Linked DNA regions of Sus scrofa. The protein of the gene in region 1 interacts with the protein of each later gene in a pairwise test. Links are inferred from orthologs where the notes say so. Each region holds a gene or a part of one and is shown in the gene's direction. Other genes may lie near its edges.

What was found.
Region 2: the proteins of CEP63 (region 1) and EZH2 interact in binary tests that used the Homo sapiens proteins (3 or more experiments, as listed by UniProt). The two-hybrid records come from large-scale screens. The link is inferred for Sus scrofa from reciprocal best matches to the Homo sapiens genes CEP63 and EZH2.
Region 3: the proteins of CEP63 (region 1) and ARFIP2 interact in binary tests that used the Homo sapiens proteins (3 or more experiments, as listed by UniProt). The link is inferred for Sus scrofa from reciprocal best matches to the Homo sapiens genes CEP63 and ARFIP2.

What each region holds. Positions count from the first base shown.
Region 1 is NC_010455.5:75,604,177-75,609,455, forward strand, and holds the start of CEP63 (centrosomal protein of 63 kDa), read left to right. Parts: upstream 1-1,864; 5' UTR 1,865-1,936; coding exon 1,937-1,971; intron 1,972-2,004; exon of another isoform or gene 2,005-2,123; intron 2,124-4,401; exon of another isoform or gene 4,402-4,410; coding exon of another isoform or gene 4,411-4,439; intron 4,440-5,279. Other genes in the region: ANAPC13 (anaphase-promoting complex subunit 13), read right to left, coding at 1-84. UniProt on the Homo sapiens protein: Required for normal spindle assembly.
Region 2 is NC_010451.4:109,383,527-109,387,815, forward strand, and holds the start of EZH2 (histone-lysine N-methyltransferase EZH2), read left to right. Parts: upstream 1-1,489; 5' UTR 1,490-1,612; intron 1,613-1,636; exon of another isoform or gene 1,637-1,660; intron 1,661-4,289. UniProt on the Homo sapiens protein: Polycomb group (PcG) protein. Catalytic subunit of the PRC2/EED-EZH2 complex, which methylates 'Lys-9' (H3K9me) and 'Lys-27' (H3K27me) of histone H3, leading to transcriptional repression of the affected target gene.
Region 3 is NC_010451.4:3,248,800-3,252,810, forward strand, and holds the start of ARFIP2 (arfaptin-2), read left to right. Parts: upstream 1-1,211; 5' UTR 1,212-1,366; intron 1,367-2,154; 5' UTR 2,155-2,196; coding exon 2,197-2,295; intron 2,296-2,550; coding exon 2,551-2,647; intron 2,648-3,366; coding exon 3,367-3,485; intron 3,486-3,668; coding exon 3,669-3,890; intron 3,891-4,011. Other genes in the region: TIMM10B (mitochondrial import inner membrane translocase subunit Tim10 B), read right to left, coding at 361-537, 734-829, 1,031-1,069. UniProt on the Homo sapiens protein: Plays a role in constitutive metalloproteinase (MMP) secretion from the trans Golgi network. May have important functions during vesicle biogenesis at certain cargo subdomains, which could be predominantly utilized by secreted MMPs, such as MMP7 and MMP2.

The sequences.
Region 1 (5,279 bases):
ATCTTCATAAGGCAGCTTGTCCTCTCGCCAAGCATCGTCAATCAAATCCAAGATCCTTCCATCTCTCTGTACCTCACTGTCCATTTTCCTGCAGCTTTGCTCTTGCCAGATCTGAAAGCCAAAGAGGTTATTTCTTAAGCATGAGGAGATGATGTAATCTAGCACTAGGGGTTCTCCAAGCTTTTTAGCCTGGATGTGTCTTTTGGCATGATATCACTTTGGGAAAGACTCATCTCATCCGGGTCAGGTTATTTACAAGATCACAGTCCCTTCCAGCTGATTTTCCCAGTCACACACAGATCCCACCTTTCTGTAAGGGTTTCTCAGATCACTCCAGCTTCAGCCCACATCCTGCCCTTGATCTACCTTTTGTCCTTATGATCTACTAACCAAGTCAGGTCGACTTTGTGACCAACTGCTCAGGTATTACTGCTTCCAATTGCTGTGTGTAGTAAAATTTTTTGTCAGTGACTCAGCACATCTTTCCTCAATTTGGCCTCAATCTTTTTTCACCTGTCCCTCTTCCGAACACCTCTAACTCTGTTATCCTTTCCAGCCTTTGCACTCAAAGTTCTTTACCCCATCACTAACACACCCATTTTTCCTTCCAAACTCAAAGCTGGCGTCAGCTCATCAGAACCAACATGCCATTTCCAGAGTTAGGCGCTAAGGTGCCTTCTCTCTTCAGGGGCTGGAAAAAAGGAAAGCACAAGACGGGCAAAGAGGGGCAATGACCAGGAAATGACTACGTCTCAAACACTTGCCTCACTCAACAGAATGAAGCATTACCACTTTCCTGAACAAAGTTTTCTTACACATACGACTGTCCCAATGCCTGGAATGCTCTGTCTTCTTCCTTTTTTCCCCAGCTAACCCCAAACTGTCCAAAAAATTTAGCTCCCAGGTCGTCTTCTGCAGGAGTCGTTCTCTAAGAGCCAGAAGAGCGCAGTCCCCGCCCCTCCGCGGGTCCCATAGTTCTCTGGGCACAGAGAATGATCCCCATCAGGATCTTGGTATATTGCCTGTCACACGGTCTTTCCAGACACGAGACGCCTGCGTTTCCCGGGGGGAGGGCAGTTTTATTCATCTCTGCTTTAGAGCTCTGTGAAACATGCAGTTACATGAGCAAAACTGGGACGCCTTTTCCCTCGCTAGAAATGACCCTCTCGGGCCACCACCGTCCATACAGGCCTGGGAGGCCGCCCCACAGCCACGGCTTCCGGCCCGAGGCGGGATATACCAAATGCGGAAGCGAGGGGGGGGGGTCCGGACAGCCAAGCAAGTTCCCCTCCTCCCCGCCCAACGTGTGGTAAGAGAAGTGGTTAGGAGGGAGAGGATGATGTGAAAACAACGACCTAAGCCAAGAGAAACGGCAGGAGTCCGAACGCGCTCCCGTATCTCCAGACCCTACATTACGTGCGCGCAAACCCTTTTACCAGCCCCAAACCCAGCGTGTCACACACCCCCGCCGACCGCGCCCTCAGCATCACGTGACCCAGACGTCCTTCACTTTCCGATCCCCGGATGTGGGTGAGCCCATTTGCCGGAGCACAGGGGGAGTTAGGGAGGACATTGTTTTAATTAAAAGTGAAGGAGCAGTGGGCAAAACGAACGTGCTGACTGCTGTGGCTGGACGTCAGGTTGGCGGTGCCGCGCGTGCGCACCCCCAGCCGTAGGTAACGGCGGGAAGGCTCGGGGAGCGCTCGCGGCAGCCCTTAACCGCATTGCGAACGTCGGACGGGCGAGGGGCGGCCGTCTCTGGGCCTGGAGGTAGCCCTGGCTGCGGTGGGGCCGCGGGCCGAGCGGCCGAATGGCCTGGGGCCTGCTTCCTCAGCCGCCCGCTGGCCTCCAGGCCCGCCCCCGCCGGCCCGGCTCCGCCCCGGCGCCCCGCCCCCCGGCCTTTTCGCTGACGCCCGGCTGACCCGCGAAGCCGGATATGGCCTCCCTCGGCGTGCGGTCCCGGCCAGCCAGGTGGTCAGCTCTTACCTAGAGACCGGGCCGGCGGGAGGGCGGCGGGGTGGGCGAGCTGCTCGTCTTCCCGGAGCGGAGTTAGCCGCGGGCCACTCTTCCACTTCAGGGGAGGGATCCTCGGCAAGGCCCTCTCGCCTGGGCTGCCTCATCTGGTTAGCTTCTTAGCATTGTTGCGACTTAGGTCATTGATGGCAGGTGATAGCGGTTCATTCACGGGTGGGAAGTTTAGCAAGTTTTAAAAAGTGAGTTGGTTAAAAACGTATTGGAGGTACAGAAATGTGGCAGAAAACATGAAGGACTCAATTGGGGAACCCTGGACTTAGGGATCCATACAAATCAGGGATGGGAAATAAATGATAAATTGAGGAAATAAAAGGTATAGGTCCTTAGAACACTTTAATCATCAAGATACTTTAAGGCGGTAAATCTAGGCTTATAATGAGGTTTTTCTTATGCTTCTTGAAACAGTAAAGATGAGTCCGCTGTCAGCGACTACTCTTCCTTTGCAATTACAGTACATTTCTTTGCACAAAGTAGTTTTCCTTGAGCCTTACAGACAGTTCCTTAAACCAGTCTTTAAGAATTTTTTCTTCTTTTAATAAAGCAGTATTGTAGGGTTAGTGCCCTGTGGTAATAGTTTCCCACATGCGTGCATTTAATTTTCTAGACATGAAGAGGAAATCAAGGATTATTAACTACATGCTACCTTCGAATATTTATATTTATACTGATCACAACTGTAGCTTAATTATATAATAAAGTGTATGTGTTTTATTTTGAATACCGTATCCTTTTTTTTTTTTTTTTGTCTTTTTGCTATTTCTTGGGCCGCTCCTGCGGCATATGGAGGTTCCCAGGCTAGGGGTTGAATCGGAGCTGTAGCCACCTGCCTACGCCAGAGCCACAGCAACGCGGGATCCGAGCCGCGTCTGCAACCTACACCACAGCTCATGGCAAAGCCGGATCGTTAACCCACTGAGCAAGGGCAGGGACCGAACCCGCAACCTCATGGTTCCTAGTCGGATTCGTTAACCACTGTGCCACGAGGGGAACTCCCCATATCATTTTTAGATGGATTTTTATTCTGCCTTTTGATTATATCATTATCAGTGATTAGTAAGAAAGACAAATTAAAACGGGTTAGACATTTATAAACTTTCACTTTAAAATGAACTGCACTTTAAAATGTATGTTGATTCAGTTTTTAAAATTATTTCTAGTAATTGTGTATATTAATAGTACTGAAGCCACTCTTCTCCCATTAAAGGTAGAACACTCTTGCTTGATCCTACCTGTTCTTACTTGTGTACTAGTGGTGGTAGGTGGTGACAGCATCAGTAGTAGTCCACTTTATCAGAACTTCCTACTTTTAAATGTATATTAACTTGATTTGAAATTCACCTAAAGCCAGCGTTGACATATGTTTCAGGAATTGAATTTTTGGTCTTTATGGTATTTTAGGCTTTCTTCCTTCAATAATTAGTGTTTTCAGTTTTACAAAATTGTATTACTGTCATCACATCTATGACAATTAGTAAAATACCCGAAATGTCAATATTTAGTCTGAGTTTGGATTTCCCCAATTGTCCCAAATACGTGTTTTTACAGTTAGCTTGTTTGGATCAAAGTCCTTTAGAGACCCATTTGTTGCATTGGGTTGATACACCTTTTAGAAGTTTTTTATATGGCAGTTTTGTTGCCTCCCTTATTTCCCTTAACATTCTAGATTTAGTTGATTGCATCCACATAGTATCCTTTAACTTATATATCTATTCCCTTTATCACCTTTAAACTGGTAGTAAGGTCTAGAATTGCCCTGTCTAATATAGCAGGCACCAGCCAGCTATGGCTGTCTAAATGAATTAAAATAGGAAAAAACCCCAAAAATTTCAGTTCCCTAGTTGCATTGGCCACATTTCAAGTGCATGATAGTCACAGATGCCTAATGGCTACTATTTGAATTGTATATATAAAGATTTCCATAATTGCATAAAGGTCTTTTGAACAGTACTGATCTAGAAACTCGATCAGATTCAGCCTTGACTCTTTGGGAAGGGTGAGGGTGGGGCAAGATTTCATAGTTGGTGCAAAACAGTAATGTCCAAGTTTTTTCTCTTTGGTGTTACAACTGGGCAGCTATGGGGGTTCAGGTGTTGTCAGTCCAGTTTATCCATGATGAAATTCCCTGTGAACCTTTCACTTAATGGTGAGATCCTGTCCTGGATTTAGATTGCTTATATCCATTATTGCATTAGAGTTTGCAATATGGTGATTCTTTGATTCTATCCTCAGTATTTAATTAGCTGGAAATTTTTTGTGAAGAAGAACTTTTTACTTCAGCAAGCTATTTGACTACCCCGCCAGCTGTTTGCAATACAGTTTGTATAGGAAAGACAAGAAAAATGCTGAATTCTTTCCCTCTATTTCCAGAGTACAGTAATGAGTTGGTGGCCTAGCAATCTCCAAAGGTAACCATGAGCGTTTTGCCTTTTTTTTAAAAAAATCATCATGAACTTACAGACTTGAATATATTTAAACTGTTTCAACCTAGTGCGGGTTTTGGGGGGGGGTTGGGTACTTAACTTGTCCTGTTGTTGGCCAGTAGTAGCCTGAATAAGTTGTCTTTTGTCCACTTTGAGAGTTTCCTTATTGTTGAGTAAAAGGTGTTATTGGCTTATTTGTATATTTCCGACCACTAAGAAGCCCTGATTCCTTTGAGTGGATACTAGAGGTATACTTGCTGCTAGGCTGGCCATTGGTTTTAGGATTTAGTGCTCGAAGTTAGGAAATATGTACTTTTTTTCTTGAAGAGAAATACACAGAATTCACATGATATTTCTAATTTATTATTTATTTACTCACACTGATATTTCCTATTTATTTATTTATTTATTTTTCTTTTTAGGGCCACACTCATGGCATATGGAAGTTCCCAGGCTAGGGGTTGAATTGGAGCTGCAGCTTCTGGCTTACGCCACAGCCACAGCAAAGCCAGATCGGAGTTGCATCTTCAACCTCCACTGCAGCTCAGGGCAACACCAGATCCTTAACCCACTGAGCAAGGCCAGGGATGGAACAGCGTCCTCATGGATACTAGTCAGGTTCTTTACTGCTGAGCCACAACAGGAACCTCCCAATTTAATTTTATAATTTTTTAAAAACAACTTATTTAATATGTATCCTTTTCTCTTTTGCTGAAAGTCATGGTACCTAATGTTATTAACATGGTTACTTTTTTTCTTATGTATAAAGCTTGCAAATAAACAATACCAATTTTATTTTTAACAATATGATTCCTGAATGGTGTT
Region 2 (4,289 bases), on another chromosome or scaffold:
GTCCTTTAAAAATGTAGCTAAAAATACTAAGTATATGATTTCGTTAGGCTTTTAACTCCAGTTCCTAGTTGACTATCCTCCCCGCCCTCCATCTGAACTCTCAATCTGTTTACATGGGTGAACGATTGTTTTGCCCTATTCCTGCATCCTATTGAAAATAAATTCAGGAGATCCCGTGGCGCAGCAGAAACTAATCCAACTAGGAACCATGCCTGAGGTTGCAGTTAGATCCCTGGCCTTGTTGAGCTGTGGAGTAGGTCGCAGATACGGCTTGGAGCCTGAGTTGCTGTGGCTGTGGTGTAGGCCGGATTCCACCCCTGGCCTGGGAAACTCCATACGCCTCGGATGAGGCCCTAAAAAGAAAAAAAAGAAAATTCAGAATAACCTTACCTTCACTGTCAGATAAATTAAAAGGGGAAACTGCATCCTAAACAGAATATTTCTAATTCTTATGGGTTGATACAGGCTCACCCGCAGATCATTTTTTTTTTTAACACTTGAAAGATGCTGCAATCATCCCAATTTTTTCCAGAGGCGTTAGCTCGAGGCAAGTGAACCCCACTCACCCCTGATAAATGATTAACGTTGACACGTGTTTGGAACTACAAACGCTGGAAGGTGCCGAACAAGGCGCTCAGAATGAGGAAACTGAAATAACAGTAGGGCTGCTGTTTCCCAGGTTTCTAAGGAGATGGGCACTGCGGCCTCGACCAACCAAAGTCCAGCGGGCCAGGGGATCTGAGTCGGGCCAAGCCACTGAGGGGCTTAGCAGAAAAAGTAGCTGGCAGAGCGCTCTGCTCGCACCGGAGGCGGCGCGCCAGTCCGACCAGACCGCGAAAGGCTCGGGGCTCCTCGCCCGAAACGAACCAGATTGGAGCCCGGACCGCAGAGCGTAACTGGCCGGCAATCGGGGTACCTCGCGCGCGTCCGCCGGCCGGCCTGCGCTTCGGCTCCGCGCGCGGGGAAAAGAGCGCGGCAGTTGAAACCGTTACCACCCCCGAGTTTTGAACTGGTTCAAACTTGGCTATCGGCCCCGCCCCGCCCCTCCGGCCCGGGAACTCTGAGGCTGCCGGCGGTTCCCGCCAAGCGCCGCGAGCGCGCCGTCCCGCCCCCTGGTCGGTTCCCGCCATCCTGCCCTGGCCGCCTCCCGCCCGCGGCCCGGGATTCGGGCTGCAGAGGCCCCATCGTCCCAGCCAGCCGACCCACCGCCTTCCTGAGAGGCGCCGTGCGTTCGGCGAAAGAACAAAGAGACGGCGCAGCGCTTCCACTCGGCGGCCGCGTCCCTCAGCGCCCGCCCGCTCGCGCGCACGCGCCGCCGGCCCGGCCCGGCTGAGTCCCGCGGGCTCCTCTGCGTGGGGCTGGCTCGCCGCCACGGAGCCCGGCGGGCCTTGTGATTGGACGGGAGCCCGCCTCGCGGCCCGCCAATCGGGGCGGCGCTTAGTTGGACAGGGGGGGCCAAATAAAAGCGATGGCGATTGGGCTGCCGGGTTTGGCGCTTGGTCCGGGAGCGTCCGACACCCACTGGGACGCAGAAGGCGGTGGAAGCCCGGCGGCGGTGGTGGCGCGCGGGAGCGGCGCGCGGGAGCGGAGCGGGCTGGGGCGCGGGGCTCAGGTAGCGTGCCGCTGTCGGGCCGGCCGGCCAGCGGGGCTCCGAAGCTCGGTGAGGGGCGGCGGCGGCGCCGGGATATCCCCGCCACCCCTCCGGGTATCGCCCAGAGCGGGCTTTCCCGGGGCGCCGCTTTGGCTGGAGGGGTGAGAGGAGACCCCTCGGAAGGGGCCGTGGCTTTGGGCTGGCCCGCGCGACCGCGGGGGCGGGCAGCGCCGCACCTGGCGACCTAAGGCGGGACCCCGGGCGGGCGCCCTGGGGGGCGAGCCGAGGGGTCTTCTCGCGCGCCCGCCCTTCGGGAGGCGCGGCGGCTGGGCTGGGGGCGCTCCGGTGCTCGGGGCGGGCCGGCCGCCCGAGCCCCTGTCTCCTTTGTGTGGAGCGTCGCGGCGGGAGCGCCCGGGTGGGACGGGACGCACACAAGTTGGTGGGACCTCGGCACCGAGTGCACACTCAGACAAAGGACGGACTGTGTCTCGGGGGAGCTCGGCGCGGGGAAGGGGCAGTGACACCCGGGCCTGACAGCGGGCGGGAGAGGGGCGTGGGGAGCGCGGGCCGCGGCGCAGGGGGCGGGCTGGGCCCCACGCCCCCTCCCCGCGAGCGCGCAGGCTCGGCCGGGGCCGAGGGGGCCGGGGCGGCGCTGGGAACCGAACTCGGAGCGGCTGCGGGTCTGACATTTCCCCGGAAAGCACCCCCGAACCCCTCGTCTCCACCCGCTCTGACGAGGCGGTCCCGGCCGCCTTTACCCCCTCGGCTGGCTTTCTGTTAAGTTTGAGGAAGGGTCGAGCCGTTCTCCCCCCGCTCGGTTTTGTTCGTTTCGGAGGGCTTTTCGTCGAGTTTCCGCGTCATTGTCCACCCCCCCAAAAAAAGTCGGTGCCATCAGGTCCCTTTTTGAAAATTGGAGGAATCGAGAAGCATGATATTTTGAAATGAAAACTTGGTGAACTCACGCCTGCTGAGTTCCCGCTTTCTAAAGAATCATATTTTTTTTAAAAAATTACATGCTCTTTCGGCCAACTTATGTGATACATCTGAGACTGGCGACAGGTGCTAACGAAATCAACTGTCATTTAGTAAGAGATTATTCTCCAAATCCCCAGGGATTGAATGAGGATGCGATGGTAGAAAGAATTGATCAAGCAAAATGTTTATGACAAATGTGTGTTTAGGTGGTCTGGTTAGCAATTCGTCATTAATTGGTCTTGTTTTCCGTGAACAATAGCTTTGTTGAGTCAGAAAAGACTGACTACAGAAATGTTTGTTGCCTAAGAAATTGAACGTGTGCTGTCCACAGTTAAGCTAAACTTCCTTTGTTTGTCACACAGGATCTGTAAAATTTAAGTCATTTGGAAACAAAGATATGTCTTTGGTATTTAAAAATATTTTACTTCAAGGTTTACTTTCTGGGTTTTAAAGGTCATTTATCGGATTAATTTTGTGGCTTTTTAATGTCACATAAAACACCATTTAAGAAAATCTTTAAAAAACACTAATGCTGATACAGTTGAATGTAGGCTATACTTCTAAGGGATTTTAAGAGCGTGTGGGATCCTAACCATTAGACCACCAGGGAGCTAGGGGGTTTGGAGTTTATTTTCCACTACTCTTCATTCATCACCGTTAGCAACTATTTTATGTTTGGAAATAAAATGTAGAACAAGTGTGTAATCCTAACAAGTTTATTGATAATTTTATTTCAAGAAAATGAAAGTATTTATGACCTATTTTAATTTCCTTTTCATATTACCTAAAGTTAGGAGTAGGTAGGGTTCTAGTCCTGGATGTAAAGAATCCTTTCTCTCTTTGTGGTGGTGTATTTGGGAATTTAATGCTTAAGTTCTTGAAAACACTTAGGAAAATGGCATCTTAAATTCTAGTCTTTGTGGCAGGGGAATATCTTCAAAGAAGAGGAATTTAGGAACATAGCACCGATTTGCATTGTTCTATCTGATGATCTAATGTTCACCCTACCATCTTACGGTTTCATAAATATGGAGACAAAGAAATGCAGTGTAAAAGTCTTTATTACATATTTTGCAGTGTTAGACACCGCTGAACAGACATTCCAGGTGCTGTCCTAAGTATTGTTTACTGTATTAGTTGCTAGTAATTATCTATTAAAAAGTCCTCCTGATAATCTGGCCTCTTGTTATAAGATGAGCTAGTTAGGGAGATTTTGGTAGATATTTGGATCTTTTAGGATAAGAAATTGCAGTTTTTCCTTACTTGTTTGTGTACACTATATTTGGCAATTACTGTCTTTGTAGTTGCCACAAGATTTATTTTTAAGTTTTTTTGGGGGAATTGGTTTTTAATTTTTTATTTGATTTGAAAATGTATTTAAGTAGCAGTGATTAAAAAAACCACACTTGTTGATTTAGTGAAGTTAGGCACACAAAAAAGCTGTAATACTTTGATATCAGCTTTGCCTTGCACACATACATATAGGTGATTGTCTTTGTGTTGGCCACTTAAAATTTTTAGGCAGATTTCCCCAGGTTACACTGAGGCTTTCTAGGATATCTTCCATCCTTTGAGCTGGCATGCTTAAGGAGAACGAATTAGTTTCCATCTTGGCCTAAAAAGCGGTAATTAAGAAAGTTGATTTTTTAAAAAATCAACAGCAATAAAAAAATCCTCTGATCTCATGCATTCTGGGGTTAATTAGAAATGACCAGTGGATTTG
Region 3 (4,011 bases), on another chromosome or scaffold:
ATCTCTAAGCGAACCATTTAAGTCAGACAGATTTAAGGACAGAGTTCCCATTTTCTCTGCCGTCTGGGCACGAACCAGCGTCTTGTTGCCAATTTTAAAGCTGTACCCACAGACCTTCCTTTAACCAGGTGCCTGGGAATGCTGAGGTTTTCCTTCCACACACAGAAGGCAACTTCTCCCTGCCCAGAATATCAACCGCACAGATTACAGCAGGTTTATTAGCTCCAGGAAAAGGAGCAACAGTACCTAGCTCTCAGGCAACTCCTCATTCTCTACATACAGGCTCCATCTTGCCCAAGGTCCACTGCTCCTTCAACGTGAGGGTCCATCCAGTGCCTCCCTTCTCAGCGTTGAGGACAGCTAGCTGCCAGATGGCGAGGCTTCTGGCTGTTCAGCAGCAACACCTGGCACAGCTGAGGCAGCCTCGTAGTCAGCGATGCGGCGCTGTACCAGGGCAGGCATGAGCTGCACGTAAGCGGCCATGAGGCGGTGGTTGGAATGGATCAGCTTCCCGGCACAGCTGTGCAGACAGGCCTCCTGGAAGGAAGACAGGGTGGAAGTAGAAGCCAAAGGTGTCCAGTCAGGTCCGTTTCCCTCCTTCCCATCCCCAGCCTCAGGGCGGAGGTCGTGGGAAGCCAGGGCCGGACGTAGGGGAATTGACGGGAGAGGGAAGCAGTGCACGGTTAGCTCTGAGGCTCGAGGAGCACTTCCCTACTCAGTTCCCCCACCTAACCTCCTCGGCATCCAGAGCTCGGTGATGCAGGCTGGGCACGCAGCGCTGGAAGCAGAGTTCCGTCATCCGATTGTAGACCAACAGGAAGTCCCGCAACTGGGGAGGAAGGGGGACAAGGAACTCAGCGAAGAGGGGGCCACGTCTCAACTCAAGGCCGCGCTGCCGGCGCTTTCCCAGGACCGTGTACCACGGCCCGTGGTTCCCAGCCCTTGGATGCCTGGCTCTCTGGGGTTTCCGCCATGCGAACAGGGATGCTAGCTGGATGCAGGGCCCTTAAGCGACTTAGCTCCCACTCACGTTTCTCAGCTGCTGCTGCTGCTGCTGTTGCTGTTCCATCACGCCGCCGGCGCACAACCTACGTCACTTCCGTTACAGCTTCTAGGGAACGCCCCGGAAGTGACCTCAATGGCTCCCCAGGGGCAGAGGGGTTGGCTCAAGGAGCGCCCGCCCACCTCCCCGCGACGTCACTTCCGCCCTCATAATCGGCTACGTGGCCGGCTTCTTCTGCCCGGGAGAGGACGTCACTTCCGCCGAGTCCCTGACCTGCTGCTAGGATCGCGACGGGAACTGGATCCCGAGATCCCCGCGCGGCCCGGGCCTGGCGCCCTGAGGGGAAGAGCGGCCCGGCCCGAGGTGAGAGGGACGTGCATGGGCGAGGGCAAGGTGAACGCACGAACCTGACCTGAGGGCAAGATGCTTCTGAGCCCTGGGAAAGGATGAGGACACACCTGACGCCCAGGTGTATGGGGGGAGGGCGGAGACTCACACACCTGGGGAGACCTAACTGACTTTGGAAGGGATCACCTCCCTATGTCCTGGGGCAAAGGGACTTTTCCCCGGGGTCGGGAACTTACACCAACTGATTCAACTAAGGCCTGGGGCGGGGGTGGGGGCAGGAAGAGGGGGTGCATGGGATGGAGGAGGGGGAGACCACCTGCAGGAAAGAGGAGGAGACATTAGAGGAGTGTGAAAGGCCAAACAATGGCGAACATACCTGAACGGGGATAGGCACCTGAGCGCTGGGAAAGGGATTGTCTCCTGATGAGGAGGAATACCTGCGTGGGGATAAGCTGCTTGAGAGCACAGGCTTTCTCTCCATTGCCTCAAATAGTGCGTGGCATGTAGTAGGCACTCATTAAATGTCTGTGGAAGGACTGAATGCATGAATGATCCCTGGACTGCTGGGGGGGTGGGGGTGGGGGGGTCATGAGAACATGACCTCTGGTCAGGCACACCTGAGGCCTGGGTGCCTGTGTGTAAAACTTTGCACCTTGGAAGGGAGAAAGACAAAGCCCCGAGGGAAGAGTGGTGGGCAGACCCCACCACACTGAAGCCCCGGGACGGCCTCTGCAAGGGCAGGGGAGACCTTCCTCTTCGGAGAACTGGCCCGTTTCCAGAACTGTCTGTGTTGGGCTTTGCAGGGCGCTGGGGTGGAGACTTTGACTCCAGTCCCTTCGCTCGCCATGACGGACGGGATCCTAGGGAAGGCAGCCACAATGGAGATCCCCATCCACGGGAATGGTGACGCGGGGCAGCTTCCTGAGGATGATGGGCTGGAGCAGGTGCTTCTGTTTGATTCTTCACATTGTTTCAGTTGAGGAATCCCAACTCTTAAACCCTGAGCTCTCTCCTTCTTCCAGTAGCCTTCCCCCAACTCACCTGATTTCCTTCAGTCTTTTTACCAATCTTTGTTCTGATTCTGTGCAGACTTCCCTTGTGTGCTCTCTCTATGATGCTTCAATCCAAGCTTGTTTTCACCCCCAAAATGCTTCAGCTGCCCATATGTTCCTGAAGCCCCCCTCTTCTCTGGCCTATAGGACCTCCAGCAGGTGATGGTGTCAGGACCCAACCTCAATGAAACCAGCATTGTGTCTGGTGGCTATGGGGGCTCTGGTGATGGACTCATCCCCACAGGTATGAATGATCAGAGCAGGATAGGGCATTGAGTGGAGAGGGGAAGAGGACTGGCTCCAGGGGGCATAGGATACGTCTAAGAAGGCGTGAATCATGTCTGGAGCTCGTGGGAACCTCTGCCAGGATGAACCCGCGGGCATCTCAGCCCAAGGCCCGTTCCCAGGGGTGTCCATCTGCCTCCACTTGCCACTTTGTCCCTCAGATATGCCCACTTGTCCCTTCTCTGCCGTCACTACCTGAGTCAGGCAGAGAACTCTGTTCACCAGGCCTCCCCTGCTCTGGAGCTTGAATCTGATTTGGAGCTTTGAGAGGCTTATCAGAGTCTTACGTTAGACTCTGCTATTTAGAGGAACAAGCAGCCCTGAATCTCGCAGTGACTGGGATCCACATGGGAATGTCAGCCAGGTGTTCGGTTCGAGGGGCGCCCAGCCATGGTCAGCGACCCCATTCTCAGCCTAGTCTCCGCTGTTTCCTCTGCCCCTGCACACGAGCAACCCCTCCCACCTCCCTTTCCAGTCCTCACCTCCACGTCAAAAGGAGGCCAGGTGTATGTTGGGATTGGGTCTCAGGGTCCAAGGCATGAATTCCTCCTAGTGAGTCTCCAGCCCTGCTCCTTCCGGGGCGTCATTTTCATGTGCTGGGAGGGAAGTGTGGGTGGAACCACAGAGGCGTCGGATTGTGTCTGAGAGAGGCTGGTGTCAGAGAACTTGGTCCTTTAGGGTCTGGCCGCCATCCATCTCACAGCGCCCCTCCTGCTGGCCCCGGGGATGAGGTGGCCCGGGGCATCGCTGGAGAGAAGTTCGACATCGTCAAGAAATGGGGCATCAACACGTATAAGGTGGGATTCACGCACCTCCTCCGCCCCCTGAGCTCCCCCGGGTACCTCTTCCCCATCTTGCGGATCCTCCTGTCCCATCATCTCGGGCTGAGACTTGGAGTCTGGGGACGCCGGGGTAGACACTTGCTGCGGGGCAGGGCCGGGCGCCAGGGTCTCTGACCTGTTCCCCCACTTCCCACTCAGTGCACAAAGCAGCTGTTATCAGAGCGGTTTGGCCGAGGCTCCCGGACTGTGGACCTGGAGCTAGAGCTGCAAATTGAGCTGCTGCGTGAGACGAAGCGCAAGTATGAGAGTGTCCTGCAGCTGGGCCGGGCCCTGACAGCCCACCTCTACAGCCTGCTGCAGACCCAGCATGCACTGGGGGATGCCTTTGCTGACCTCAGCCAGAAGTCCCCAGAGCTTCAGGTGCCTTGGGCAGGCCAGAGGGGGAGGGGGGCCTGGGCCCGGGGCCCTCCCAGGCAGTCACCCCTCAGCCTCCCTCCTCCCTCCCTCCTGCAGCCCAGAGGGAGAACCCCTCCAGGGTGGG